Linked DNA regions of Elephas maximus indicus. The protein of the gene in region 4 interacts with the protein of the main gene of each other region in a biochemical or structural test. Links are inferred from orthologs where the notes say so. Each region holds a gene or a part of one and is shown on either strand. Other genes may lie near its edges. The genes, in order: PLK3, MARK3, CHEK2 and CDC25C.

The links.
Region 1: of the proteins of CDC25C (region 4) and PLK3, one has a biochemical effect on the other in vitro, tested with the Homo sapiens proteins (2 studies listed by BioGRID, with this or other methods). The link is inferred for Elephas maximus indicus from reciprocal best matches to the Homo sapiens genes CDC25C and PLK3.
Region 2: of the proteins of CDC25C (region 4) and MARK3, one has a biochemical effect on the other in vitro, tested with the Homo sapiens proteins (3 studies listed by BioGRID, with this or other methods). The link is inferred for Elephas maximus indicus from reciprocal best matches to the Homo sapiens genes CDC25C and MARK3.
Region 3: of the proteins of CDC25C (region 4) and CHEK2, one has a biochemical effect on the other in vitro, tested with the Homo sapiens proteins (14 studies listed by BioGRID). The link is inferred for Elephas maximus indicus from reciprocal best matches to the Homo sapiens genes CDC25C and CHEK2.

Annotation. Positions count from the first base shown.
Region 1 is NC_064821.1:87,161,097-87,168,263, reverse strand, and holds the start of PLK3 (serine/threonine-protein kinase PLK3), read right to left. Parts: upstream 3,003-7,167; 5' UTR 2,877-3,002; coding exon 2,667-2,876; intron 2,501-2,666; coding exon 2,393-2,500; intron 2,291-2,392; coding exon 2,174-2,290; intron 2,029-2,173; coding exon 1,899-2,028; intron 1,813-1,898; coding exon 1,725-1,812; intron 903-1,724; coding exon 807-902; intron 719-806; coding exon 520-718; intron 404-519; coding exon 277-403; intron 75-276; coding exon 1-74. UniProt on the Homo sapiens protein: Serine/threonine-protein kinase involved in cell cycle regulation, response to stress and Golgi disassembly. Polo-like kinases act by binding and phosphorylating proteins that are already phosphorylated on a specific motif recognized by the POLO box domains.
Region 2 is NC_064828.1:117,666,887-117,674,061, forward strand, and holds the start of MARK3 (MAP/microtubule affinity-regulating kinase 3), read left to right. Parts: upstream 1-4,159; 5' UTR 4,160-4,680; coding exon 4,681-4,731; intron 4,732-7,175. Other genes in the region: uncharacterized protein LOC126083725, read right to left, coding at 3,489-4,144. UniProt on the Homo sapiens protein: Serine/threonine-protein kinase. Involved in the specific phosphorylation of microtubule-associated proteins for MAP2 and MAP4. Phosphorylates the microtubule-associated protein MAPT/TAU. Phosphorylates CDC25C on 'Ser-216'.
Region 3 is NC_064840.1:27,875,187-27,882,182, reverse strand, and holds the start of CHEK2 (serine/threonine-protein kinase Chk2), read right to left. Parts: upstream 3,017-6,996; 5' UTR 2,951-3,016; intron 695-2,950; 5' UTR 689-694; coding exon 304-688; intron 1-303. Other genes in the region: iron-sulfur cluster co-chaperone protein HscB, read left to right, coding at 3,318-3,556, 4,729-4,825, 5,546-5,635, 6,229-6,370. UniProt on the Homo sapiens protein: Serine/threonine-protein kinase which is required for checkpoint-mediated cell cycle arrest, activation of DNA repair and apoptosis in response to the presence of DNA double-strand breaks.
Region 4 is NC_064820.1:151,423,373-151,430,798, forward strand, and holds the start of CDC25C (M-phase inducer phosphatase 3), read right to left. Parts: upstream 3,004-7,426; 5' UTR 2,468-3,003; intron 2,291-2,467; exon of another isoform or gene 2,284-2,290; 5' UTR 2,279-2,283; coding exon 2,085-2,278; intron 231-2,084; coding exon 127-230; intron 1-126. UniProt on the Homo sapiens protein: Functions as a dosage-dependent inducer in mitotic control. Tyrosine protein phosphatase required for progression of the cell cycle. When phosphorylated, highly effective in activating G2 cells into prophase.

The DNA.
Region 1 (7,167 bases), on a different chromosome or scaffold from region 4:
TTGGCCAAGGGATGTCCGCACGAGGCCGCTCACCAAACAGGAGACCTCGTCCCGCTCCTCAGGATGGTTCTTGCCTTGGGGGGGCAGGGGGTTAGGGAGATATAGCCCTCAGTGTCTTGCTCTGCCCAGGCCCCCTGCTTCCCACAGGGATGACACAGAGATAGGCACACCCAAGTGCTCGTACAACACATGCTCTCCCTAGGATGTTCACAGGTACCACACATGTGTAACAGCCCCCTACTCTATACCCACAACCCACTGACACCCCAGACTCACTCTTGTTCTTCTTCCTGCCAAAGAGGCTCTTGGTAACCTTGGCAAAGAGACTCCTGGCCGGGTTGGGGGGTGTCAGGTCTGGGACAGTCATGCAGCTAGTGACAGGAAGCTTGTCAGGGGTGTAGCCCTGGAGAAGGGAGCCATGTGAGAAGAGACGAGAGGCTCCAGGGGTCCTCTCACTTGCCCCCATTAAATCTTCTGAGGACAGGTAGACTGGACTTTGGTGTCTAGTGAGCCACAGACCTTGGTAAAGAAGTCATGGCGCAAGATCTGGTCGATCGAGGGGCGGTCTCGGGGCGAGGCCCGTAGAATGGCAGTCAGGAGCTGCCGGGCAGGCAGTGAAAGGCTAGCAGGCAGCGTGTAGTGAACCTGCTTGATGCAGCGGTATGTCTCCTTCAGGTCAGCTGTCTCAAAGGGGGGGCTCCCACACAGCAGTGTATACCTGTGGGACAGGGGAAAGAGGTCAGGAGTAAAGTGGAGGGTATGCCCCACCCTTCCACCTACCTGTCTGCCTCTGTCCTGGGACTCACATGACACAGCCCAGCGACCACACATCTGCCTCGGGGCCATGGCCCTGTCTCAGCAACACTTCTGGAGCCACATAGTTGGGGGTGCCACAGATGGTCCTGAAAGGGGGCAAGGAGGAGGGGAAGGCTCAGCCCCAGCTCTGCAGTCCCCCTATCCCTGCCCCCGCTGTGAGTCCAGACAAAGCAGCTGCCTGTCACCAAAGGCAAGAGAGCTTCTGCTTGTCCTGGGACAATGGATGCTGGGTATAGCAGCTGAGTCCCTGCCCACCCGCCTGGCCCAGCTGCTCAGCTGCTCTGCAGGACAGGGGGAGCCCCTGACCCTTCTCCAGGGTCAACATAGAGGGCCCATCACTGATTCCTCCTCCCCCTGCTGCCGTCTGTCAGGCACCCATACAGGCTGTCACCTCCCACGGTCTGTGCTACACACACACCAACACCAGCTGTCACATTCCCCCATAAGCACTCATCTCCCACATGTTATCTGTGTCATGCACACCCAGTCGTCGTGGCCATATCAGGGTCTTCTTATATACCTACCGGGCGTCACATTCTGCCATTCCCATACTCTGTCTCTCTCTCTCCCACACACACAGATACACACACTGCCTGTGGCACCTTCCCCTTGTCCACTCACAGGGTCAGTCAGACACCTTCAAGAACCCTTACACCTCCATCTGTCTCAGGAAGTCAGAGTCATCTACCCCATCTGTGTCACACACCCATAGGGCCCTCACCCCCACTGCCAGTCCCAGTAACCCAGGCTGCCACCTCCACCTTCATATGTAATCAGCTCATCACCCCCTTCCCCATCTATCATATGCACACATCAGGCAGTCACCTTGCCTCCTACACACACACACTCACTGTCGCACACATCATCTGTGTCACATATAGATCGAGGCCACTCATCTCGACACTCACTTCTTCCTCTGCTCTGGGGGCTCCAACCGGGCAGCCAGTCCAAAATCCCCCACCTTCAGCTCCATGTTCTCAGTGATGAAAAAATTTCCTGGATGGTGGAAGAGAGATGTGTCAGACTCCTTCCTGCCTCCCAACCCTTCCCACCCTCCTATCCTGCTGGCCATGGAGTCTCACCCAGCTTGAGATCCCGGTGCAAGATCCCCCGCTGGTGCAGGTACTTGAGGCCTGAAAGGATCTGCCTTAGGTAGTAACGCACCTCTGGCTCCAAAAGGGTGTGTCGGGCCTTCCAGATGTGGGCTAGGGACTGGGGAGAGCCACTGTCTCAGTCCCTGGCCCTCCCTGCCTGACCCTTCCCCCATCCATGCTCCCTGAGGAAGAGACAGGGCCCCAGCTTTGGGTTTTAAGGTCCCTTTTCCTGCCCCATCTCCACCTGCATCACTTCTCCTCACCTTTCGGCTGCACAGCTCCAGGAAAATGTATATGTTGTCAGCATCCTCAAAGTGGTGTGAGAAACGCACGATGTGGCGGTGCTGCAGATCTCGGTGCAGCTCAATCTCGTTTAGGATCTGCGATGGGGGCACGGGAGGTTGTCATGCTTCAAGGGTCCCCGCCCTCCCACCACCACCACCACCACCACCACCACCCTGCGTCCTCCGGCCAGGACGCACCTTCTCGCGCTGATGCGGCTTGGCGACGCGGCTCTGCGGGATGACTTTGACCGCGTAGGCGCTGCCAGTCTCTGTGTCAGTGGCCTCGTAGCAGCGAGCGAAGCCCCCCTATTAGGAGAGGGCATCAGACACGGCGCTCACAGGGTGTCCGGGTCTGGCCCGAACACTTCCTGGAGCCGGGGACAAGCGCCCCCGCCAGGCCCGGCGCCGGAAAAAAGGACGGCGAGGACCCTCTTCCCTGTCAGCATCACCTCCCGGGCAGCCGCCAGCCCACCTTGCCCAACAGGCGGCCTTTGAAGTAGGTGCGGCCGCTGCGCGGGTCCGTGATGAGACGCCCAGGGTCCGGCGCCGGTGCCCCGGCCGGCACCTCCAGCTCAGGTCCCGGCACCGCACTTCGAGGCGGCCCGGGCCCGGCGGGGGACGAGGGCGGGGCGGCAGCGCGCGGGAAGGGGCGCTGGGACAGGAAGCCGGCGGCGGGCTCCATGCGGCGGCGCGTCGCAGCGCGGGCGCGGCTCGGTCTCGGTTCCGCCCGGCCAGGGCCGCGCGTGGGCGCTGCCTGGATTCGCTACACTGCGCTGGCGCCCGAGGGAGCCCGGCGTTTTTATCAATGAACGCCGGCCCCCTTCCCCGTGTCCCGTCACCAGGAGCCCCGCCCCCTTCCTGGCGGCGAGTCACCGGGAAGCCGCGCCCCTTCTCGGGCTTACGTCAACAAGAAGCTCCGCCTCCCACCCCACACACCTCGACGCCCCGCCTCCTGCTCAAGCTTTAAAGGCACAGCCATACTGCTAGTCACCTACTGTGCCGGCGCGCCCCGGCTGTGGGGCCTGTTTCTCCGCCCCCCACCCACCCCGCCCCTGAGAACTTTGAGCCCCCTAATGGGGGCTACTTTCTTCTCCCATCCTTCGGGGCGTATGCTGAAGTCCGAGTGGGAGCCCGGCACCTAGGCCGTCTCCCCAGCAACTGGACCAGCGTTCCAGGCGGAAGGGGAGAGGCAGGGGTGGCGCTCGTTTTCGCCGGGGCGCTTCACCAATACTCCCCTTTCAGGCACGAGATGGTGAGCGCGTCCGGCGCCCTCGGTCGGAGCCTCCAGGACTAGCTCAGTGCTGGCCCCTTTAGGAACCGAGAGGGATTGCACACTCCCGAGCCCGACTTGCCAGGCCCAGGGGCAGCTATGCTGCGCTTTGGGTTGGGCTGGGTATCCCAAGCCTTTACCATGCACCGCGTCACATCATCTGCTACCCATGTCCACACTCTTGAGGGACGAATCCCAGGCTCCAGCAGGGTTCCTTATTCCCTTCCCCTGAAAACACCCATTGTCCTGGTTCAGTAACCAGAAAGCCAAAAAGTTAAGAAAGGGGAACTCACCTTTCTCAGATGCTAGCGATGGGCAACTGGGCAGCTGGTGCCAGCACCATCTGGACCCTTAGACACCTACTCAATGCTCATCTTTCCAGGGCCAGAGACAAATGTGGGGTCTTAACCTCTCTGGCGTGTTTGTCACAGGATCATCAACCTCTGGCTTTGTAGTCCCTCTCACCTCCCTGCCCTCACACTGAACCATCCAATCAATAACTCATGAATAAGCCATTCGGTCCCCAAAGACTCAGTGAAAATACCAGCACACGGTTCGAATAAGACTGGCCAAGGTTGCAGCCCTCATTTATTTAACATTCTGCTTGATGGAAACAGACAATGTTGTTGTTAGGTGCCCTCCAGTCAGATCCAACTCATAGCAACCCTATGTACAACAGCACGAAACACTGCCCGGTCCTGCACCATCCTCACAATCGTTGTTATGCTTGAGCCCATTGTTGCAGCCACTGTGTTAATCCATCTTGTTGAGGGCCTTCCCCTTTATCGATGACCCTCTACCAAGCATGATGTTCTTCTCCAGGGACTGATCCCTCCTTATAACATGTCCAAAGTACGTGAGACTCATTCTTGGCATCCTTGCTTCTAAGGAGCATTCTGGTTGTGCTTCTTCTAAGACAGGTTTGTTTGTTCTTCCGGCAGTTCATTGTATATTCAATATTCTTCACCAACACCACAATTCAAAGGCATCAATTCTTTGGTCTCCCTTATTCATTGTCCAGCCTTCACATGCATATGAGGCAACTGAAAACACCATGGCTTGGGTCAGGCACACCTTAGCCCTCAAAGTGACATTTTTGCTTCTTACCACGTTAAAGAAGCCTTTTGCAGCAGATTTACCCAATTATCAGTACAATGCATCCTTTGATCTCTTGACTGCTGCTTCCGTGAGTGTTGATTGTGGATCCAAGTAATACAAAATCCTTGATAACTTCAATCTTTTTTGCTTATTGGTCCAGTTGTGAGGATTTTTGTTTTCTTTATGTTGAGGTGTAATCCATACTGAAGGCTGGAGTCTTTGATCTTCATCAGTAAGTGCTTCAAGCCCTCTACACTTCAGCAAGCAAAGTTATTTCATCTGCATAATGCAGGTTGTTAATGTCTCCCTCCAATCCTAATGCCCCTTCTTCATATGGTCCACCTTCTACAGATTATGTGCTCAGCATACAGATTGAATAAATATGGTGAAAGGATACAACCCTTACAAACCTTTCTTGACTTTAAACCACAAAGTATCCCTTTGTCCTGTTTGAATGACTGCCTCTTGATCTATGTACAGGCTCCTCACGAGCACAGTTAAGGGTTCTGAAATTACCATTCTTTGCAATGTTATCCATTATTTGTTATGATCCACACAGTTGAATGCCTTTGCATAGTCAATAAAACACAGGTACACATCTCTCTGGTGTTCTCTGCTTTCAGCCAGGATCCATCAGCAATGGTATCCCTGGTTCCACATCCTCTTCTAAATCTGGCTTCAATTTCTGGCAGTTCTTTGTTGATGTACTCCCGCAGCTGCTTTTGAATAATCTTCAGCAAAATTTTACTTGAGTGTGATATTAATAATATTATTCAATAATTTCCTTATTCAGTTGGATCACTTTTCTTTGGAATAGGCATAAATATGGACCTCTTCCAGTCAGTTGGCCGGGTAACTGTCTTCCAAATTTCTTGGCATAGACGAGTGCGCACTTCCAACACTAAATCTGTTTGTTGAAATGATTCAGTTGCTATTCTGTCAATTCCTGGAGCCTTGTTTTTTGCCAGTGCCTTCAGTGCAGCTTTGTCCTCTTCCTTCAGGACCATTGGTTCCTGATCATATGCTACCTCCTGAAATGGTTGAATGTTGACCAATTCTTTTTGGTATAGTGACTCTGTGTATTCCTTCCATTTTCTTTTGATGATTCCTGTGTTGTTTAATATTTTCCTTGTAGAATCCTTCAACATGCAATTCGAGGCTTGAATATTTTCTTCAGTTCTTTCAGCTTGAGAAATACCAAGTGTGTTCTTTCCTTTTGGTTTTCTAACTCCAGTTCTTTGCACATGTCATTACAGTACTTTACTTTGTCATCTCGAGCTGCCCTTTGAAATCTTCTGTTCAGCTCTTTTACTTCATTTCTTCCATTTGCTTTAGTGATGTTCAAGAGCGAGTTTCAGAGTCTCTTCTGACATCCATTTTGTTCTTTTCTTTCTTTCCTGTCTTTTGAATGGCCTCTTGCTTCCTTCATGTATGATGTCCTTGATGTCATTCCACAACTTGTCTGGTCTTTGGTCATTAGTGTTCGACACATCAAATCTATTCTTGAGATGATTTCTAAATTCAGATGGGATATACTCAAGGTCATTTCTAATTTTCTCCAGCTTTGAACTTGCATATGAGCAGCTGATGGTCTGTTCCGCAGTCAGCCCCTGGCGTTGTTCTGACTGATGATATTGAGCTTTTCCATCATCTCTTTCCCCAGATGTAGTCGATTTGATTCCTGTGTATTCCATCTGGTGAGGCCCACATGTACAGTCATCATTTATGTTGCTGAAAAAAGGTATTTGCAATGAAGAAGTCGTTGGTCTTGCAAAATTCTATCATGTGACCTCTGATATAATTTCTGTCACCAAGGCCATATTTTCCAACTATCAGTCCTTCTTTTTTGTTTCCACTTTTCAATCACCAGTAATTACCAATGCATCCTGATTGCATGTTTGATCAATTTCAGAGTGAAGAAGTTTGTAAAAATCTTCAGTTTCTTCATCTTTGACCTTAGTGGTGGGTGTATAAATTTGAATAATTGTCATATTAACTGGTTGGTCTTCCTCGTAGGCGTATGGATATTATCCTATCACTGACAGCATTGTACTTCAGAATAGATCTTAAAATGTTCTTTTTGACAATGAATGCAGTGTCTTTACTCTTCAAGTTGTCATTCAGCATAGTAGACCATATATATCATTGTCCAATTTGAAATGGCCAAGACCAGTCCATTTCAGTTCACTAATGCCTAGGATATCAATGTTTCTGTGTTCCATTTCTTTTTTGATGATCTCCAATTTTCCTAGATTCATACTTAGTACATTCCACATTCCAGTTATTAATGGATGTTTGCAGCTGTTTCTTCTCATTTTGAGTTGTGCCACACAGCAAATGAAGGTCCTGAAAGCTTGACTCCATCCATGTCAGTAAGGTCGACTCACTTTGACGAGGCAGCTCTTCCCCAGTCGTCCTTTTAGTGCCTTCCAACCTGAGGGACTCATCATCTGGCACTATATCAAACAATGTTCCGCTGCTATTCATAAGGTTTTCACTGGCTAATTCTTTTCAGACGTAGACCACCAGGTGTTTCTTCCCAGCCTGTCTTAGTCTGGAAGCTCAGCTGAAATCTGTACACCATGGGTGACCCTGCTGGTATTTG
Region 2 (7,175 bases), on a different chromosome or scaffold from region 4:
AGACGAGTGAGCACTTCCAGCGTTGCATGCGTTTGTTGGAACATCTCAATTGGTATTCTGTCAGTTCCTGAAGCCTTGTTTTTCACCAATGCCTTCAGTGCAGCTTGGACTTCTTCCTTCAATACTATCGTTCTTGATCGTATACTACCTCCCGAAATGGCTGAAGGTTGACCAATTCTTTTTGGTATAGTGACTCTGTATTCTTCCAACTTCTTTTGATACTTCCTGTGTCATTCAATATTTTGCCTGTAGAATCCTTCAATATAAAACCAGAAACCCAGTGCCTTCAAGTCGATTCCGACTCATAGCGACCTTCAATATAGTAGGACTAAATTATCTTAGCTTCTGATGGCTCACATTGATTTCTACTTGACATGAAAGCAAGTGCTGCCTACACATATACACAGCTTGGCGTATTTACTCACACTGTTATAGCGTAGGGAACCCAAGACAGAACCTGTTTTAACATGAAGACAGGAGACAAGGAATATGAAAAGAGACAGAGGCATCCCAAGGATGACTTCCAGAACTTGCCACTCCTTCTAGACCACAGATGCACATAATTCATGGTCACAATGGGTCCATCTGACAGGCACAGAGCACTGCTTTCCTTTTCTTTTTGTTTTTGCATAATATAGACACTTTGCTCCCCATTTTCAGCTCTTCAGAGTGTAATCACTGTCATTTCACGTAAGTGCAGTGAAGAGTGTTTCTTTAAGTCTAGCCTTTATGCAAAACAGAAGCTGTGTGAGCTAAGTATGTCAGATTCATTTCCTAACTTTTGGATTCATCAACTCATTAGCCAATAGTTAGCTTTGGTCAGAAGAGCACCTGGGCTGAAGCTTCACCTCCAGCTATTTCTCTGCCCAACGTGGAGTGTTCTGATTGTTCAAATGCTTTCTCTCAGCTCTGCCTGAGGCTGAAACTCATTTGTGTGTCTTTTGGATGTTTTCCCAGCTGACCTAAGGGACATTCCTGTCATCAGAATCAGACATGGCTGCAATTTGGCAGAACCTGGTGCCCTGCTATGTGCAAATGTGGCCCAGCTCCTGCCTGCCCACCAGTCACACCTCTTACTTTTTTTTTTGGTTTGTTTTTTTAATTGTATTTTAGATGAAGGTTTACAAAGCAAATTAGTTTCTCATTAAACAATTAATACATATTGTTTTGAGATACTGGTTGCTGTCTTAGTCATCCAGTACTGCTATACAGAAATACCATGTGGATGGTTTCAACAAAAAGAAGTTTATTCTCTCACAATCTAGTAGGGTCGAAGTCCAAATTCAGGGTGTCACCTCCAGAGGAAGGCTTTCTGTCTCTGTCAGCTCTGGAGGAAGGTCCTTGTCATCAGTCTTCCCCTGGTCTAGGAGCTTCTCTGTGCAGCAACCCCGGGGTTCAAAGGACATGCTCTCTCTGCTCACTTCTTTCTTTTATATCTCAAAAGAGATTGGCTTAAAACACAATCTAATCCTGTAGCTTGAGTCCTGCCTCATTAACATAACTGCCACTAATCCTATCTCATTAACATCATAGAGGTAGGATTTACAACACATAGGAAAATTATATCAAATGACAAAATGGTGGACAATCACACAAGACTGGGAATCATGGCCTAGCCAGATTGATACACATATTTTTGGAGGACACAATTCAATCATGACAGTTGCCAACTCCATGATACGTCAACATTCTCCCCTTCTTGACCTTGGGTTCCCTATTACCAGCTTTCCTGTCCCCTCCTGTCTTCTAGTTCTGTCCCTGGGCTGGTGTGCCCATTTAGTTTCATTTTGTTTTATGGGCTATCTTTGGCTGAAGGGTGAACCACAGGAGTTACTTCAGTGCTGAGTTAAAAGGATGTTCAGGGGCCATACTCTCAAGGTTTCTCCAGTCTCTGTCAGACTAGTAAGTCTGGTCTTTTTTGTGAGTTAGAATTTTGTTCTACATTTTTCTCCAGCTCTGTCCGGGACCCTCTATTGTGATCTCTGTCAGAGCAGTCGGTGCTGGTAGCCAGGCACCATCTAGTCGTGCTGGACTCAGTCCGGTGGAGGCCGTGGTAGTTGTGGTCCGTTAGTCCTTTGGACTAATCTTTCCCTTGTGTCTTTGGTTTTCTTCATCCTCCCTTGCTCCAGACAGGGTAAGATCAGTGGAGTATCTTAGACGGCTGCTCACAGGCTTTTAAGACTCCAGACACTGCTCACCAAAGTAGAATGCAGAACATTTTCTTTATAAACTGTTATGCCAATTGAGCTAGATGTCCCCTCAGACATTCACCTCCAATCCTCCTGATGCTCATGCAAACCCAGCCGTTCTCCCTCACCTCTGTACCTCTGTGCAGGCCAGCCCTCTGCTTGGAATGCCCCCCCGCCCCCAGCCACCCCAGCCTGGCTAACTCTACTCATGCGTTCAGATTCAGCACAAATATCCTCTCCTTCAGGAAGCCTTCCCAAACTGAAGCCCCCAAGCTGGGCTCAGTGTCCCTGCTTGCAGCTCCCACAACATTTGTGCTCGCCCCCATCTTATCTCAGCCCACATTTCAGGTGAACTGTTATGAAGCACATGTTTTATTGTTGTTAGCTGCTGTGAGCCGGCCCCTGAGTCATGGGGACCCCATGTACAACAGAACTAAATGCTGTCTGGGTTCTGTGACATCCCCGTGATTGGCTGTGGATCACACTGTTGTTATCCACAGGGTTTTCACTGGCTGATTTTCCGGAAGTAGACCTCCAGGTCTTTTCTCCTAGCCCATCTTAATCTGGAAGCTCCGATGAGACCTGTTCAGCGTTATAGCAACTTGCAAGCCTCCACTGAGACGGGTAGTGGCTGTGTATGAGGTGGACTGGCTGGGAATTGAACTTGGATCTCTCATGGAAGAAGCACACATTTAAACTAACAGGAATTCAAGTCTCTGTGCTTGGCCAAATAGGGGAAAGAGAATATCGACTTAAAGGGGGGACCCTGGCTCCGTAAGCACGCACCAGAGGTGACACGGGTGGTCTAAATGCATCTCAGTCCTCACGTATTTTACACTGGGAGCGTCTGGCTTTTCTGGGAGTGATTCTGGTATTTAAAGGCATACACTCGTATCTCTCACAGGGCAGGAAATGCCCCAGACATAGGAAGACGGTTCAGATCCTGGGGGACCAAAAAGGAAAAGACACATCCACCGCAAGGGCTCATCTACTATCAAAGCTTTAAGAACTGGGTTCTAATCCCAACTCTGCCACTTACCAACTTTGGTACTTTGGTCAAGTCACTGTAACCCCTGGAACTTGGATCGCATTGTGCGTGTGCCCGTCTTACACGGTTACCCTGACCTTAAACGAGGTAACAAACGTAATGTATCCACCAGGTACACTCTCCAAAACAGTTCGAGTTACCCGAGCACCACCCCCTCTCCCCAGCCCATCCCCTCTCCCTCCTCGGAACCTTGCACCCATGGATTCCACCCACCGCCGGCCAGACCCTGGGCAGAAACACAGGCTACCTACGGAGGCGAGGAGGGCAAAGAAGGTTTCCCGGCATGTCCAGTGCTCCAGCCTGCGGGCGTCCACAGAGCCCCGCCCCAGCCTGGGATCCCGGGACGCTGCCAGTCCTCGCGGCTGGTTATAAATCTCCTGCGGGCTGGAACTAGCGTCCTTGGGGTCCCCACAACTTTCCTCCCGCCCCCTTGAGCCGCCCTTCTTATTGCATTCTTCATCCCGACGGCATTAGCCGGGTCCCTCTCCCTGCAGACTTGCTGCCCTCGGGATGCGCGGATCCTGGCTGGCCTACAGCCTGGACAGACGCGGTGCCCTGCGGCCCCGGCCCTACAATTGCCGCCGTGGCTCGACTCTGCAGCGCAGGCCGGGCATGTGGGCTCCGCGTTTGCACACAGTAGGCGCTGCATCAGCACTGTAAACGCCAGCCCAGCAGTCGGGCTCAGGCCGCCGTCCAGGGCCGTGCCCGGTTCTCCCGGGCCTGCCTGCGTTACCGGCTGTGGGAACCCGTTGCCCGCTGCCGCCGGCGGGGACCCGGCCCACCCGCTTCCTCGCTCAGGGCCGGCCCTGCAGGACCGAGTCGCCCCTAGCAACAGCAGCAGGCCGCTTCCTCGCAGCGCGCTGATTGGCCCAAGTCCGGGAGGCGGCGGCTGCGTCACTTCCGGCATCCGGAGGCAGCAGAGGAAGTCGAGGGGCGGCCATCTTGGGTCTGTGAGGCTCGGTGGTGCCGGCAGCGGCGGCGGCCAGCGGGCGGCGGCTGAGGCGGAAAGCGAGCGGGAGGGAGAAGAGCAGCCGGCGCAGGCCCCTCCTCCGCAGGCCCCTCCATGGTCGGCGCCCGCAGCTCGTGGCGGCCTGTCTCGCGCTCCTCCTGCTCCGCGGCCTCCTCCTGCTCCTCCTCAGGGGCCGCCGGCGGCGCTGTGTGGAGGCCCCGGGGCTGAGGTCCGCGGCGCGACGGGCCGGAGCGCAGGCGGGGGGGCGGGGGCCCGCGGGGCGCCCTGAGGCGCGGGGACGCCGGCTGACCGCCGCCCGCGGGGCGCCTCGCTGCGGCCCCGGGGGAGATGCGCCCCGGGACCCGCCGGGGGACGTCCCGGCCCGGCCTCTAGTCGACCGCCCGCACCGCGGTGACCCGGGACGCTGCCGCCGGCTTCCCGGGGCCGCCCGTGCCGTTTCCACCCCCGCGTCGTGAGAATCCAAGTGCAAGAAGATGTCCACTCGGACCCCGCTGCCGACGGTGAATGAGCGCGACACGGAGAACGTAGGTGTCGGCGTGCGGAGCGGGGCGGGGGCCGGGCCTGGGGGGCGTCGGGCCTGGGGGGGGGGGTCGGGCCGGGGGGGAGCGGGGGCCGAGCGGGGCCGGGCCTGGGGGGCGTCGGGCCTGGGGGGGGGTCGGGCTGGGGGGGAGCGGGGGCCGGGCCGGGGGGCGGGGGCCGAGCGGGGCTGGGCCTGGGGGGGCGTCGGGCCGGGGGGGCGTCGGGCCTGGGGGGGCGGGCAGGCGGGGGCCGCAGACGTGGCGGCGGGGCGGACGGATGGGGGCCGGCGGGACCGAGGCGAATGACGGGCGGCGAGGCTGCTGGAAGCGGAGCCCGGAACGGTGGCGCGGCGGGGGCCCCGCGCTGGCCGGGCGTCCTCGGCTTCCAGGCTCCCGGCCCGGGATTCCCTGGAAGGAGCCTGGGCTTGGTGGGCGCCGGCCGCTCCCTGCCGGGGACGGCGAGTCCCAGGCCGGCGCTGGCCAGGCGCCCCTCCGCTCTGGCTCGCTCGGGGTAAACGAGGCCGGCCCAGCGGTGCTTGTCTGCCGCAAAACGTCGGCCAAACCTGGCCAAGAACCTTCCCCGGTCTTTCGCTGACGGGTGTCAGGAGGAAGTTGCCGGGGAGAAAACGGCCGTGTCTTTTAGGAGAAGTTTCCTTGCTGTGTTTTCATGGTTTCAGCAAGGTCCTGAGACACTGTGGCCTCGCGGTATCAAGTGTCTCGGTTTGAATCGTCAGAAGGCCGCTCGTTTGCTGCTGGTGGCTATCAGATGGTTTCATCTGTTTATGGAAACCGAGGTGGCGAGGATCCCCAGTGATGTACTCATCAACGCGTGGTCTGTAACGCTCTTTGGCCCTGAGGAAGCGGGCGGTCAGGGGTGTGCTTTCCTGCACCTGAGATGCATTAGAAATCTATCTGAGGAGTGAGTCAGAGAAAACCCTGGGTTAGGTGCGTCAGTGAACTCATTTTCTTACCCTCCTTCTTTGAAGCCCTGTTTCTGCCTTGATGTTTTCCTGTTCCTTGACCAGCCTGAAGAGTGGAACAAGCCCAAAAAGTGCATTGATTAGCTTTGATCATTGATCTTCACTCAGAGAAGCAAACCCTTACATTCAACCCGAGCTAGCGGGAGCTCCATCCACACCTTCTAAACTGAAGCCAGACACAGTCATAACACATTTGTAGTGATGACGGATTCACAGCGAATGGGTCTTTTGGACATATACATACCTATTTCACTGTGGGACGTAGAGAGAAGAAATACGTTTATTTTCATTCAGGGACACATGGTTTAGGCAGTGAATATCTCTGATTGTTCTTGACTGACTTTGCACGTTCTTCACCTTGTCCTCTGTTGAATTTGTTGAATCATTTTGTACTATTTTTTGTGTGTCGTTAGGTACTGCTAACTTTATTCTTTAAGAACAACCTAGGGTAAGGAGTGTGTCTTTTTTTATCCTCAGTTTAACATATTTAAAGTTGAAATTTTGACAGTGTTAGGATCAGAGATTTGCAGCGTGTCTTTGCATTAATTCAGCATACCTGTTCCACTTTAACTCTGGCATTGCCGTATTCTGGAAGGAACTCTGTCTCTTTCACAGTAAGAGCCCCAAGTGCCAGTGTTACACCTCAAGTGTGGGCTCTGTAATTGAGTGTACGCTAATGCGCTTCACCCACCATTACTGAGTAGCTAAACATTAGACTTAGTGCCAGTTCAGTGGTGAGGGTACGAGAATGAAGGGAAGTGCTTAGTGTGTTGAGTAGCTCTTCTGTTAAAGTCAGGCTTATTGGGATATAACATTCACCCTTTTTAAGTGTACAGTTTGATGACTTTTAAAGAATGTGTAGTGATGTAACCAGTATCATGGTCCCTTGGGCCCCTTTGCACTCAGTCTCGTCTTCAGATCAACCACTGGCAATCACTGATCTGTTTTCTGTCCTAACAGTCTTGTCCTTTTTACAGTGTCGTGTAAATAGGATCATAGGGTGTGGAATCATTTATATGTGGCTTCTTTCACGTAGCATAAGTTCAAGTTCGTTTCTTTTTATTGCTGAACAGTATTTGGATTTATCTTTGGATATACCTTTTTTTTTTTTAACTCATTTACCAGTTAATGGATTTTTTAGCTATTATGATGAGAGCAGCTTTGCTTTTCTATTTTATGGAAAGACTTTCAACTTTGCTTATCCTAGGAGCCTTATTTGCATTTCTAAAAATTGTATCTATTGTGAAGAATGTTCTTATTAAGAATAGTAGAACGTTCTTAAGAATAGTAAAAGGCAGATAATTTGCAATAAGGATAATACTGGCTTTACTGTATTTTCATTTGATATACAGATGTGAACATCCACCTTTAGGTGATGGGTATATAAAAGTTCACTGTTATCAAGTCATTTTCTAACCCAAAAGGCCTGGTCCAACAATCTGACATGAGAGGAAGCTGAGGTTCAGAGAG
Region 3 (6,996 bases), on a different chromosome or scaffold from region 4:
AATGAGAAATGTTTACAAGTTTGCATGAAACTGCAGTTTTCTGGGGAGAGTCCACAGCTCTGTTCAAGAACCTCAGCCCAACAGCACAGCACAAATGCCCAAAAAGTATCTGCTGTAAGAATAAATAAAGGGAATCCAAAAGGGGTTAAGAGCTAATGTACGACCCAACACTGCTTCCTCAGTTTCATCTTCCATCACCATCAAACTCCAGAATCACTCCAGGAGCGACTCGAGCCTTCTACTACAACTTACTGTAGTTGTCTTTCTGAATGAAACATTGCATCATATAACAAAGACGCTTACCGAGATTGGAGAATCCATCCTGAAGGGCCCATAATCGAGCCCAGGGGGCCGGGATGGGCTCCTCTGGTTCTTGGTCCTCGGGAATAGAGTAGAGTTCCTGAGTGGACACTGTGTCTACGGAACTCAGCGTCCCGGAGCTGGAGTGAGAGGACTGACTGGATGTGTGTACTGTGCCAGAGGAGGAGCCAGATGTGTTCTGGGACTGCGAAGAGCCGTGGGGCTGTGAGGAAAGGCCAGGGGACTGCAAGGAGCTGCTGTGCGACTGCCAGGAGGAGGAGAAGGCGGGCTGAGAGGAGGTGGCGGACTGAGAGGAGGTGGCGCCTTGAGACTGTGAGGAGGTGCCGTCTTGGGACTGCTGACAATCCATATCTGCCTCTCGAGACATCAGGACCTCAAAAAGCAAGTGTTCACCAATAAGATAAGTTTCAAGGAACAAAACTTAAAGTTCAAGAGTGAAAGGTGGGCAAATTACAATGGTTTTAAATTAAAAAAAAAAAAGACAGGATACACATGCTCTGCAAAAATTAAAATGCTACGTCTGCTGTGAGCACTATGCTCTTTTAAGATCTATCTACACGAGATCAAATTGTCAATAGCAACTTGAAAGGTTAGACAGGAAATTTAGGAGGCAATGAGTTTGTTAGTGTGGGAGGAACGAAAATGGCTGCACCACTCAAAGAATGTAATCAATGTAGATTTGTAAATGTAGAAGCTGTTGAATTGGTGTATGTCCTACTGTGTATATTCTCCACAACAAAAATAAGACAAATTATTTTAAAAAGTTAAAATGCTAACAATTTAGACCAATAGTTTTTGAGTTGGGGGGAATGGGGTCAAAGGCTCAAAAGCTTACATTCCCTCAATTTTTAAAAATTAGAAATGAAACCTAAACCCTATTCATTAATACAACTAACACTACACTTAAATTTCATATATATTTTGAGAGGGAAAGAAGGCGGGGAACTGTCAGGTGGACAAAGGTAGAAGCTGAGCAAAGAGAAACCATACAATGGCTAGGGTTGTCATTGACATAAAACACATCGGATGTCTCTCCTTCACCCTGACCCAGGCCTACTCCAGAAGGACAGAGACCATATCCAGTTTGTTCATTCCAGATCCCCTGGCACCTAACTTGGGTCAGGCCACTTAAAGAAACAGAGCACAAACCAGACTGCTCTAAACAACTCCACCTAGCTCTTCTGATGCTAAGTAACTATGGGTTCATCTTTTCAGCATCCCAAAAGGCCTTCCATTCTGGACAGAATTCTGAACCATTCTCTGAGTCACAGATACCATAACAGAGGCTCCCTTTCTTTAGAATTAACTTGATGGATAGTTATACTCAGACAACAGAACCTCCTGTAAAATCAAAGTAACTTGCAAGCCTGATCCAATTTGACTTTTTTTTTTTAATGGAAGTATTTCCTTTCCCCACATTCAGGTTAATCCTTCAGGAGAATGTTGTAAACAATGTTACTGCATTTACACAGCTTTCAAGATACAAAGGTCCTGAGGAGCTTTTCTTAAAACACAACAGGAAGGTGATGCCAGAGCTGAGTCTGCCACTCCAGAACCTGCTGGTCTAAAACTGCCTCAGCCAGGTTGGGTCCTTCTGTAGCTTTCTGAACAAGACTTCTTCGTCTGCATCTAGTCCCCGCCCTTGGTAAGTGGAGAAAGAAAGAGCGTGTCAAGAGGTGGCAGCCATCATTTGCTTAGGACAAGGGTCCACCCACTCAGACAAAAATAAAGAGCTGGGACCACCCCGGCCTCAGCAATAGTGAGAAGGTATGGTGGAGTTGCTAGAGGTGTAGAGCCTTGGAGTCAGAGGCCTGCCTCAAATCTTTGCATGACACTGGGCAGGTCCCAATCTCTCTGAGTCTCAGTTTACTCATATGAAAAAAGCAAATAAATAGTGAGGATTAAATGAAGTGATGCATGTAATGCTAGCCCTCTGCTCTCCCCACCTCCCCCTCCACCCCAGTAATGCATGATAACTGGGAGCTACTTATATCAGCAGGCCATGCGGAGTGGGGTGTGAAAGGCCACAATAACCACAGCAAAACCCATGACTGTGAACAGACTTCCAGTCCCGAAGAATCCTACAGCGAGAAAAAAGCCTCACATATGCAACACAATCTTTTTTCATATAAGAAACTGAGTCTCAAAGACGTCTCGTGCTGGCTGCCCATTCCCTGCCACCCCATCCCTCACACTTAAGGCCACTCGCAAGGCATCCGCTACACACACACACATAGGGCAGTGGGTTTCTTGTTCCTGCAGCGCATAGCAGCTAAAGTGGGTTCGCCAAAAATACTTACGATATTGAATTTAAATCATGGCAGTGATCATTAACATTCATAGAACTCCTTACAAAGCAACTTCGCTGTGATTTTTAAGAGCATAAACTTTTTAACTTCCCACCTTCTAGGTCTAGGCCAGTAGCAGCTTGTAAGTCACGAGGGAATGTAAACTTCACCTCCAAGTTTATCTACAAAGAAGGAAGAGTCGCCCACGTACTCGCCTCCCCCCCCCCCCGGGAGCTCAAATTCGGCAAAGCGGAAGCTCCAGAGATTCTGCTCGCATAAGACCCTGAGGACGGGATTCGAACCCCTAAAACACCCAAAAAAGTTTCCCCACTAAGACTCACCCTGCGAGCCCACCTGGAGTCGCGCACACTCGCCGCAGCCGACTCGCGCACACTCGCCGCAGCCGCAGCCGCAGCCAGCGGAGTGGCGCTAAAGATGTAATACAAACTCCTTCCTCAGCCAATCAAAAACACCCTCCGCCGCCCTGGGCCAATGAGGAGAAGCGGATGGGACCTTGGAAGTGTAGCCTCATTGCCTGCTGGGAGTTGTAGTTTAGATCTCAAAGCGGGACACAGAATCCAGGTTCCCCCCCTCCCCAAGGTGATCCCGCCCCCTCAGTTCCCACAGCCAATCAGCAGCACTAGTTAGGTCGCTCGCTAACTCCCCTTTCCCCCACAGGTGACCCAGGCGAGATAGGCCGTGGGCCAGATGTGGGGCGGGAGAGCTGGGGCCTTGCTCCGGGTGTGGGGGTTGAGGCCAGCATGGAGCCCCAGGAGGAGACCACTAAGCTGCAATGCTGCTTCGCAGGCCCGAAGCAACTCCCCGCGATGTTGGAAGTGCGGCGGCAGCCCAGGGGGCCCCACAGGGGAGGACATACTCTTCTGCCCGCAGTGCCGCGCGTTGCAGCCACCCGACCCCACTCGAGATTACTTCAGCCTCATGGATTGGTACGGGCGGCGGTTTTGGGAAAGGGGTCGAGACCATCGAGACGTGACGAACTGGTCAGCTAGAATGGTGGGCCGACCAGGCTTGGAGAAGAGGGGCCCTGAAAGATGGTTGGGGGCGGAGCCTGGGAGAATGGAGGTTGGGAAGTGGCCTGAGGGAGAGAAAATTAAGGGGCGGGGTCTGAGGGAAGGGCCGGAGAGATGAGGGATGGAGACTTGAGGGGGGGACTTGAGGTGCGAAGCCTGAGAGGAGAAATTGAGGGCTGGACCTAGGACAAGGGAGACCTGGGGAGCAGAGTAAGAAAGGTTAAAGTTGGGTTGAAACTCTTAAAGAAAGGAATACTAATGTATAGTCCAAGTTAAGGGAGTAAAAACCAAAAAAACACTTGCCATGGAGTGGATCTTGAATCATAGTGATCTTACAGAGTAGAACTGACCCATAAGGCAGTTCTGCAAATCTTTCTCCCACAGAGAGGCCGGTGGGCTTGAACCACCAACCTTTGGGTTAGCAGCCAAGCTTTTAGCCAGTGCACCAATAGGGATCTTTAAGGGAGTAAAAGCACAGAAAAACTAGTATTGTGGGCAGGATTTAAAGGAAAAGTGGGAATTGAAGGTGGAGGGTCCCAGAAATGGGTGTTTTTTCCCATTTTCCTCTGAAATTGAGCTTGGAGAGGTGATGAAATGTGGGTGGAGATGGACTGGTTAGGTGATAAGGCAGACTCTAGGAACTGATAGCTAAAATGAGTTGGATTAAAGGAAAGTGGGAGATCTAGGAGAGAGAAAGTTTGGGTGAAGTTCAGCATTGCCCCTTCCCTCAACTCCAGGATCTGCCCCCACAGGTCACTGAGCACTTATTATGGGCTGCAATGACACTACCCTTTAATTTCTTCAGTGTGCCAATTTTGTTCCCACTCCAGGGCCTTTGCACTTGTGGTTCCTTTTGACTGGATGGCTCTTTCCTTTGATATTTGAATACTCCTCCACAAATTCAGGTCTCCCCTCAAATGTCATCTCTTCATCCACTCCATTCACCACTCTCTTTGACCCAGTTCTGTTTTCATTCATAGCACCAACCACTATTTGAAACCATCCCCCATGAGAGCAGGAACCAGGCTTATAGAAGACAAATCTTTAATTATTTGTTCCATGAATTTCATCTACTGGTTTTCTTCCAGCAACCGTTCCTTCAGAGTTGACACCATGAAGCTCCAGCATAGGTACCAGCAACTACAGCGTCTCGTTCATCCAGATTTCTTCAGCCAGAGGTCTCAGGTAGTCTATTGGCTACCCCCAATCATCCCAAACACACATGTACACACTAGATGGGTGGCAGTGGCCTTGTGGTTATGTAATTATCACGGAACAAGCCGGACAACCAGCTCTACCCTATGGCAGCCTGACCTCAGCCAGCCAGGCCTTGGAGCTGTCATGCACTCACAGCTTTTATCTAACTTCCCAGCAGACTAAAACCAATCAGTTGAAAATTAAGACAGCTCATCCGACACCAGTTCTATTTTGGCTACTTCCTGAGGTCTCCACCCATCAGCCTTTTTTTTTTTTAATTATGGTAAAAATATACATAATAAAACATATGCCACTTCAACAGTTTTTACATGTATAATTCAGTAACACTGATTATATTCTTTATGTTTTACAACCATTATCACTATCCTTTTCCAAATTATTCCACTACAATTAACATAAACGCAGTGCCCTCTAAGCAGTAACTCCCTTTTCTCCCCTTCCCTCCCACCTCTAGTAACCACTATATTTGCCTCTTTCATATAAGTCAGATCATACGGTATTTGCCCTTTTATGACTGACTTGCTTCACTCAGCATAATGTTTTCAAGGTTCATCCATGCTGTGACATGCATCAGGACTTTCATTTCTTTTTATGGCCCAGTAACCCATCAGCCTTTTTAAAACAGTTTGTGAATGTAAGATGGTTAATTTGGATGATAATAAGACTGCCTTCATCTCCCACTAACAGACTGAAAAGGACTTCTCAGTGAAGCATTCGACCCTGGTGAATGATGCCTATAAGACCCTTCTGGCACCCCTAAGCAGGGGACTATACCTTGTAAGGTGATTTCCCAACTCTTTTATGCGTGACTGCCTGGTGCTTATTGTGTTGTGGGACACCTGCTCCCCTCTAATCAGAGAAAAGCGCTTGAGACCTGAGCTGATCCAGAGACCCAATATTTAGCCTCAAAGATACTACACGAGTATCATTTTCTCTGAGTATTCTCTGCAAATGTTACTTGCCCCAGTTGCTTTTTTTTCTTTTCTTTTTTTTTGACACCATTTTCTATAAATTTCAAAGATTTGATGATGACTTTTAATGAAGGGTAATTTTTGGTTTCTTTTGGGAGAAGTCTTAAACTCCAGAAAATTTTAGAACTTAATAGAATCTTTACAAACATTTAGTTCAACCTCTGAGTAGAAGAGTAACTCCCCAGGGTCACACAGGTCCAAGGAGCACAGAGAGGGATCCTGTCCCAGCACTCTGTCTCGGCCCAGGCTTTTGGCACCTACTCTTAACGCTTTCGTTATTAGGACAGCTCGAGTTTTCCCCATGAGCGATATTATGTTCTAAGGTGTGAATAGGAATTACAGGACTCTGGCCATAGTTTCCTAAACAGAACTTATTTTGTCTGCTTTATACCTCAATAGCTAAAACTCCGTGGAATAGAGATTCCCGAAGGGACAGATGAAATGGACAAGCAATTCCTCGTGGAAATAATGGAAATCAATGAAAAACTCGCAGAAGCTCAACATGAAGGTGCTGTCAATGAGATTGAATCCGTTGTCGCAGGTAAAAGATGAAACGGTGCCAAGGCACTTTGTTATGGATATATACCTAGGGTTAAGTGAAAGACGAGTATAGAGAGAAAATTACTGGTTATCATGATGATTCAGGGAATTTTTTTTCTTGACCATACAGAAACCAATGTTGTCTGGAGGTTAAACTTGCAACGTCCCTCTGGAAAAAAAATACCAAACCCTCTGCCATCAAGTCAATTCTGACTCATAGTGGCCCTATAAAAGGCAGCCTTAAATCAAGAATGTAATACTATCGGCTGCTAAGCAAAAGGTTGGTGGTTCAAACTCACCCAACCGCTCCACAGGAGAAAGACCTGGAAATCTGCTCCCATAAAGACTACAGCCTAGAAAACTCTATGGAGCAGTTCTACTCTGTCATATGGGATCACTATGAGTAGAAATCGACTCTGTGGCACCCAACAACAACAGTATTTTGCAGATTGGAATGTTCCTTCCCACCCGTGATGTCATTTAGATACTGTGATTATCTCTGACAGGGAAAATGTGTCTTAGAATTTCATGGAATTTCCCAAGGTCACACAGCAGATATGTAGCAAAGCAAAGATTGAGACCCTGTTCTTCAGACCCCATATAGCTTCGTTTTCTACTTTATTCTGT
Region 4 (7,426 bases):
ACATTTCCAACTTCAAGGCTCGCTACACTCTTTCATCATCTTCCATCTCTATCCTACTAGCCTGTTCTCTCCCTTATGTTATTCTTCCCACTGAGGCCATTATGGCTGTTATTCCCTTCTCCCTACCGGTTTTATCAAAGTCTGAAGAGGTGGTAAGCTGAGTGGCAGACATGGCAGACATCTCCCCACTGCTAAGATTCGAAAGATCAAGGCAACGTTTTGGGGTTCCTCTGTCGAGACATAATAGAACATCAAAATTCCCATTAGGTTATAACATCCTTAAATGAAAAAAGCATAACATCCTCATTTGCAACACTCCTCAATAACTGTTACAAAAATCTGAACAGTGTCCAAATAAATCTAGTAACTTTTTGGGAAACATTTCAGATTAATAATGAAACAAGAAGCCCTGGTGGCACAGTGGTTAATCTAACTGTGCCAAATGAAAGGTCAGAGGTTCAAACCCACCAGCCAATCGGTGGGAGACAGTCTACTTCCATGAAGATTACAGTCTTGGAAATCGTATGGGGGATTTCTAATCTACTCCATTTTAGAGGGTCAGTTTGAGTCAGAATTGACTTGATGGCAATTTTTTTTTTTAATTGTGCTTTAGGCGAAAGTTTACAGAGGAAATTAGTTTCTCATTAAATAATATATACATTGTTTTGTAACATTGGTTGCCAAACCCAGGATGTGTCAACCCTCTCCCCTTCTATACCCCAGGTTCCCTATTTCCATTCATCAGTTTTCCTGTCCCTTCCTGCCTCCTTGTCTTTGCTTTTGGGCTGGTAAGCCCATTTAGTCTCACGTACATGGTTGAACTATGAAACATGTTCCTCATATGTGTTATTGTTTATTTTACAGGCCTATCTATTCATTTTCCTCAAAAATCCTGTGGTTGAAGGAGCAGAGCGTGTCCTTTGGACCAGGGATCCCTGTGCCTGAGAAGCTCCTTGACCAGGGGAAGAGTGAAGACAAGGACCTTCCTCCAGAGCCAACAGAGAGAGAGAACCTTCCCCTGGAGCTGACGCCCTGAATTTGGACTTTTAGCCTACTTTACTGTGAGGAAATAAATTTCTCTTTGTTAAAGTAAGAAAAAAAAAAAAGTCTTCTGGTTGAAAGGTGAACTTCAGGACTGAGTTAAAATAGTGTCCAGGGGCCATATTCTCTGGGTTTCTTCAGTCTGTCAGACCAGTTAGTTTGGTCTTTTTTTGTGAGTTTGAATTTTGTTCTACATTTTTCTCCCGATCTATTCAGGACTGTGTATTGTGATCCCTGTCTGAGTGGTCAGTGGTGGTAGCCAGGCACCACGTAGTTGTGTTGGACTCAGTCTGGTGGAGGCCTGTGGTAGTTGTGATCCATTAGTACAGCAATGGGTTTTTTGGTCTGGTAATAATGGGAACTAGGCTGAGAAAAATGTTTCACCTTTTCTTTACTCCAATAACCTGTATCTCAATTTCCCCTCACCAACATATTGAGACAGGATAATTTTTTTTTTTAATTGAGGCCCAAAGTTTATTGATCTACAGGTCTTGATCTTATGTCCTCTCCCCTGTGCACCATGAGGACACAGACTTGATTCCTCCCTGGGTTCTGTAGTACTTTTCAGCTCTATAAATCTTCAACTTCATTTGGTAGCTGAGGCATCTGGACACGAACATCGCCAGAATTTAAAGTGCAAGAACACACACACATATTGATTCCGACTCATAGCGACTCTATAGGCCAGAGGAGAACTGCCCCATAGCGTTACCAAGGAGCGGTAGATGGATGTGAATTGCTGACCTTTTGGTTAGTGGCCGAACCACTGTGCCACCAGGGCTCCAAGTACAAGTACGATAACACTAATAATAAAGTGTGCAAAGACTTCCCCAGACATCACGTCATTAGATTCTCACCCAATCCTGGTAAAATAGGAAGAAACTGTTATTCCCAGATCACTGAAAAGAAGCCTGAGATTCAAAAGGGTCACAGTTAGTCAAGTGGCAGAGGTGAGACTTAGACCCTTTTCCTAGGGCCAGGATAATTTATAAACAAACTAGAAAAGCAAGAGAAATAAAGTGTGACTATAAAAGTGAACTTACCCAGACAAAATGCTTAGGTTTCCAGAATCAACCAGGAGTTTGTCCACCGGAGTTCTAGGGAGACCTGGACACTTGGTAAAGGAAGTCTCTCTCTCCAGCAGCAGGTTTAACCTCTTCCTTTGATTGGATCTAAAACTGGGTCCTGAACCAGCGCCTTCCTCCTCTCTTGTGGATGAGAAGGGATTTGCAGACATGGGCTCTAAGTTCTCACCAAGAAAAAATTAAACCAATATAAGAGGACAAGGTCATCTATGTAGGTGCATCACTGATACATCACAGCTTTCACAACAACCTCCCTAACCCTTTCCAGCAGCGGTCAAGCAAATCAGTATTGGAGTACGGGCATACCCAAACGGTGATCTTTTTGGTGGATCCTAACTTACCGAGAGGCAACTCAGGGCTTTAAAGATGGGATGAAGAAAGGCCTTTGATTTGTTCCCGGCCACACAGCTAAGCGAGTCCTAACCGGAACTCAGGTCTCCTAATTCGCGATAATGCCTATCAGGTCCTCCCGCCTTAGGTTTGCGGGGTCCCGGCTGGACCCGGAGGAGACAATGGGGTCTCCGTGACTCCGTGGCGTAGATGGCTCCGGGCCTAGGTCTTTTGGGTCCTGAGCCTTGTCTTCGCGAGGAAAGGATCGGCCACAAGCGAAGCCTCGAGCAGAATTAAAGAAAAGAACAAACTGGGGAAAAGAGGCGACTAGCCAGACTATTTTGCTCTTCAGCTGGGTAGGCGGGGGCCAGGCTTTGCAAGTTCTCTCGGCAGAATGGAAGTTACAGTCTCAGTGCAAGAACACCAACAGCCGTAGACCTTGACCATTCAAACCTTCCGCCCTCCCCAATAACCTATCCACGCTTGCCTCTAAACTGCGTCAGCCGATCTCGGCGTGCCCGCCTAGACGTCCTCAGCCAATCGTACATCACCTCTGGGCGTGCGCTTGCTCTGGAAGAGCAATATTTGCCCCGCCCCTGGATCAGAGCAGCCCGGCGATTGGCCCACCAGCTTTAGACAGGAAAAAAAAAAAAAAAAAGCTGGATAAGCCCCGCCCCACAGGGAACCTGGAGCATTATTGGCCCTCCCTTTGACCAATCGCCACATCCTTCCTTCAGTCTGCCCGCAGCCTCACCAACCCCGGGAGATTTAAATTGCGACCACTCGCTGGCCTAATAACACGAGCGTTTTTTTTTTTAGTTTAGATGGGAGAGTTTGGAGAGCGTCTCTTTTTTCTTGCTTTTTTTCTCGTGCTGTTACGCGGACCTTTCCCTTCTAGCTTTTCTAGCTTTCCGCTGGCGATGGAGCATTTGCCGCCGGCGTGGCAGGTGTTGGGAAGAGACAGGTGTGTGTGTTTATGCAGAGCGGCGTCAGCCCCTCCCAAGAGTTTCGGTGACCCTTTTTAGGGGTAGCATCTGAGACTCTATGTAGGGTAAACAGGAATTCCTTTGCTGGGAGAATAGGAAAGTTGAATAATTTCTTGGCATAATCCTTATCACAGTTCAAAGAATTCAGTCTTTGTTATGGAAATTTGTCTTGACTAAGTGGTATTAAAGGAGCTTTGGTGGCATAATACGGAGAGCCTTGGTGACGCAGTGGTTAAAAGCTTGGCTGCTAACCAAAAGGTCGGCAGTTCGAATCCACCAGCCGCTCCCTTGGGAACCCTATGGGGCAGTTCTACTCTGTTCTACGGCGTCGCATGAGTCGGAATCACTCCACGGCAACGGGTTTCCTTCTTTTTGGTTGGTGGCGCAATGGTTAAGCGCCTGGCTGCTAATGAGAAGGTCGGGGGTTTGAACCTAAATCTTTAGGCAGTCTGCTCCCTGAAGATTTCAGCCTAAGAAACCCTGTGAGGCAGTTCTGTTCTGTCATATAGGGTCGCTATGAGTTGGAATCCAGTCGACAGTACACAACAGCTGATACTAAGTTATTCATAATTTGGGGGATTTGCTTTTAAATAATGGGGTAGGGAAAACCGGTGTGTATACATGAAACAAATTGGCCATGAGTGATGGGTGATTGGTACACGACGCCCACTAGTACTTGTCAAAGTTTAATGTGCATTCTAACCACCTGGGATCTTGTTAAAATGCAGATTCTGACTCCCTAAGTCTGGGTTGGGGTCCAAGATTCTGCACTGCTAACAAGGTCTTAGGTAATGCTGATGCAGCTAATCCTAGGACTATACTTTGAGTAGCATTTAAAAAAGAAAAAACATTGCTGTTGAGTGGATTCCGACGCGTAGACCCTACAGGGCAAAGTAAAACTGCCCCATAGGGTTTCCAAGAAGTGGCTGGTGGATTCAAACTGCCCCAAGGCATTATGCTATTCTCTTCACTGCTGTGTATTATTTGAAATTTCCCATAAAAGTTTAAAATAAACTTGTAAGCTCTTGAAAATGCAAGAGCCCCAAATACTGATTCAATAGGTCTGAAATGGGGCCCAGGAATGATCAAGGCCCCCAGGTGCTACCAAAGCAGATGGTTCGCAGACCACACTTTGAGAAACATTAAGTCAGAAATGCAACTTTATCTTTGAGAAAACAATAAGTCAGAAATACCACATTTATCTGGTGTCAGAATCTTGGTGGTGGTGGTGGCTGAGAAGCATTGTAGTCAGCTGGTTACTCCCTGATACTCCCTTCATCTGTAGAATCTGCTTCTCTAGAAAGGAGATGTGTGAGGAGTCTTTGTCTTCTGGGATACAGATGGTGAATGCAGGAGTCAGCACAGAGTCACGCCATGCCAGGTGAGTTTGCAAATCAGGCTGGGAATTAAGAGAGTATGGGATGAGTTGGTTCTGCTTTGGTGACTATAAATCACACTTTGTGGGGCACTGTGTACTTCCCCACAGTAGAGACATATGACATTGTCCTGCAGCGACGGCAAAAGCAGATAGATTATGGCAAAAGCACACCTGGCTACCAGGGCTTTCTGCAGCAGGTCTCCACATGAGTCTCATTGTGGGGTGGTCACAACAAGGGTGCCCACCAAGTTGCTTTGGTTCAGAGGATGGAAAGATACTAGGATCTGAGTGTTTTGAATGTGCTCACAAAGTTGCAGAACTACTAAATTTCTTGTAATCTAGCCCTAATATTTCCAAGGTTTTTTTTTTTTTCAAGTGGAACATACTTGGTCCATTGGCTTTTTTAAAAAATTGATTGTGGTGAGATATATATTTCAACAATTTTCTGTCTACAATTCACTGACATTAATTACATTCACCATGTTGTGCAACAATCATCATGTTTCCAATTTTTTTCACAGTCTTTAACAAAAATTCTGTATCTCTTAATATCCCCGATTTTCCTCTCCCACCCGCCCCTCCATGTGACTTTTTAAAGCTCTATCTGTGTTTCCTAATGAGGTGGTTTTCCTTCCAACCATTTTTACCATCGTCTTCTTATGCCTCCTCTTGACTTGGTAATTGCAACATACTTGCCTAAGTACATGTAAATTTACACACACTCATAGAAATTAAATGCATGAAAATGAACATTTGTTTTAAAGGGAAGTCAAATATTTTATGTCTACCTTGATTTCCAAGAATATATCTAATTTACCCTTTCCAGAAGAAAGGCTATTAGTGAGGCTGAAAGTTTGGTGTATAATCTGAAGATCTACTTTTTCTATTTGATTGAGGACACTGGTCTTACTCATTCTCAGGGAATTTCTAACTAGGCTCCTGATTCATTGTGATAAGTAGTGAGCTGTGCCCCCTGCTATACAGGGCCCCCTTTCATATTGACCTCAGCCTGACCCACATTTGTTGTTGCCAGGGCACAGCGACAGCCAGGGCTTCAACCTCAGACGCCAAACAAGAACAGACAGTACAGCCATCGCTCCTGGGATGCCCAGAACAGGCACTGGAGAAGAGCCTTGCATTCCTGGGATCCGCCCAGTCAGCCCCTTCAGGGCAGGGCTGCTCTGGGGTGTGCTGACTATTTCTGGTTCCTTCAGTGAGTGGTGGGCTGAGCCCCACATCTCCCCACTTTGCAGAGGTTTATCTTTCACTGCGTGAAAAGGGAGGGTCTGAATAAAAGGCATGTTCCTCTGACTCTGCTGCCTTCCTAGACAGGGAATGGAGAGTCTCTTAGAGCCAATGGACTCCACCCCTTTGGACAATCTACTGGATGACTGGCTCCAGGCCCTGAAACTCTTCGAGAATCTGGATGGAGACCAGGTAGTATACTCTGCTGAAACTCCCTGGAGCAGGGTCAGAGATGAGGTCTAGCCCAAGGGCACAATTAAGACGAAGTTCAAGGTAGCATCCCAAGAACAAAAGGAAGCAGCTGGAAAAAAAAATAACAGGTCATGACTTAAAAACTTGAGAACTAAGAGAAGGGTATAAGGAGATTTAAAAGGAGCCCTGGTGGGACAATGGTTAAGTGCTTGGCTGCTAACCTAAAGGTTGGTTATTCAAACCCACCCAGTGGCTCCATGGGAGACAGTCTGCTTCCATAAAGATTACAGCCTTGGAAACCCTATAGAGCAATTCCATTCTGTCACATGTGGTCACTATGAGTCGAAATCGACTCGATGGCACCTAACAAGAAGGAGATTTAACTATAGTTAGTAATGGAGGTGGAGCTTTGGGCTATACTGAGTGCTATTTTACCCTTGATGAAAGAGGGGGTATAGCCTTCCTTTGAGGCCTGAAATCTGCTCAGTTTTTGTTTGATTTTGTTTTTTAACGTCTCAAATTCTTTCAATGTTTTACAAGTTAGCCAATGCTAACTTAACTTCTTTTACTCAGTCATTTAACTTTTGTAAGCACGGATAATTTAAAAAAAAAAGTGGGGGGTATATAGCCTAGTGCTTTACATAACCAGGGCTTTAGAGGCTCATAATTGGTTCTTTGCCCACCACTTGGGCACTCAACCTCTTGGGCTGTTTATTGTCTCATTTGGTGATTGTAAGCAAAAATGAGAATACATTATTTAAATTATATAGCACCGTGCCTGGCACATATAAGTGCTTCACAGCTATTACTGAAAACAGTGTCTCCTATGCTTCATGGTCCCTGCCTCTGCTTCTTTTTCACCAAGGGGAAATGTGCATGGCAAGGTATATCCCCCTCCCACTTTCTTATAAATACCTCACTTTTCCTTTATTCTTTTTCAGTTAGCTGACTTTGTGGCTCCTGCCTCCTCCCTTCCATGGCTCAATGAGGAAGATCCCTACAATGACTACTTTCTAGCTGAACACAGCTAATTTACCTGTACCACTCCTGAGTGGGGCACAAAATATTTACAGAAAACAGATGTCTTTCAGGGGACTTACTTGCATTACTACCACTTTCCAATCAATTAGAAATCTAAAACTCTACCCTACAAAGGGATCACAACCCAA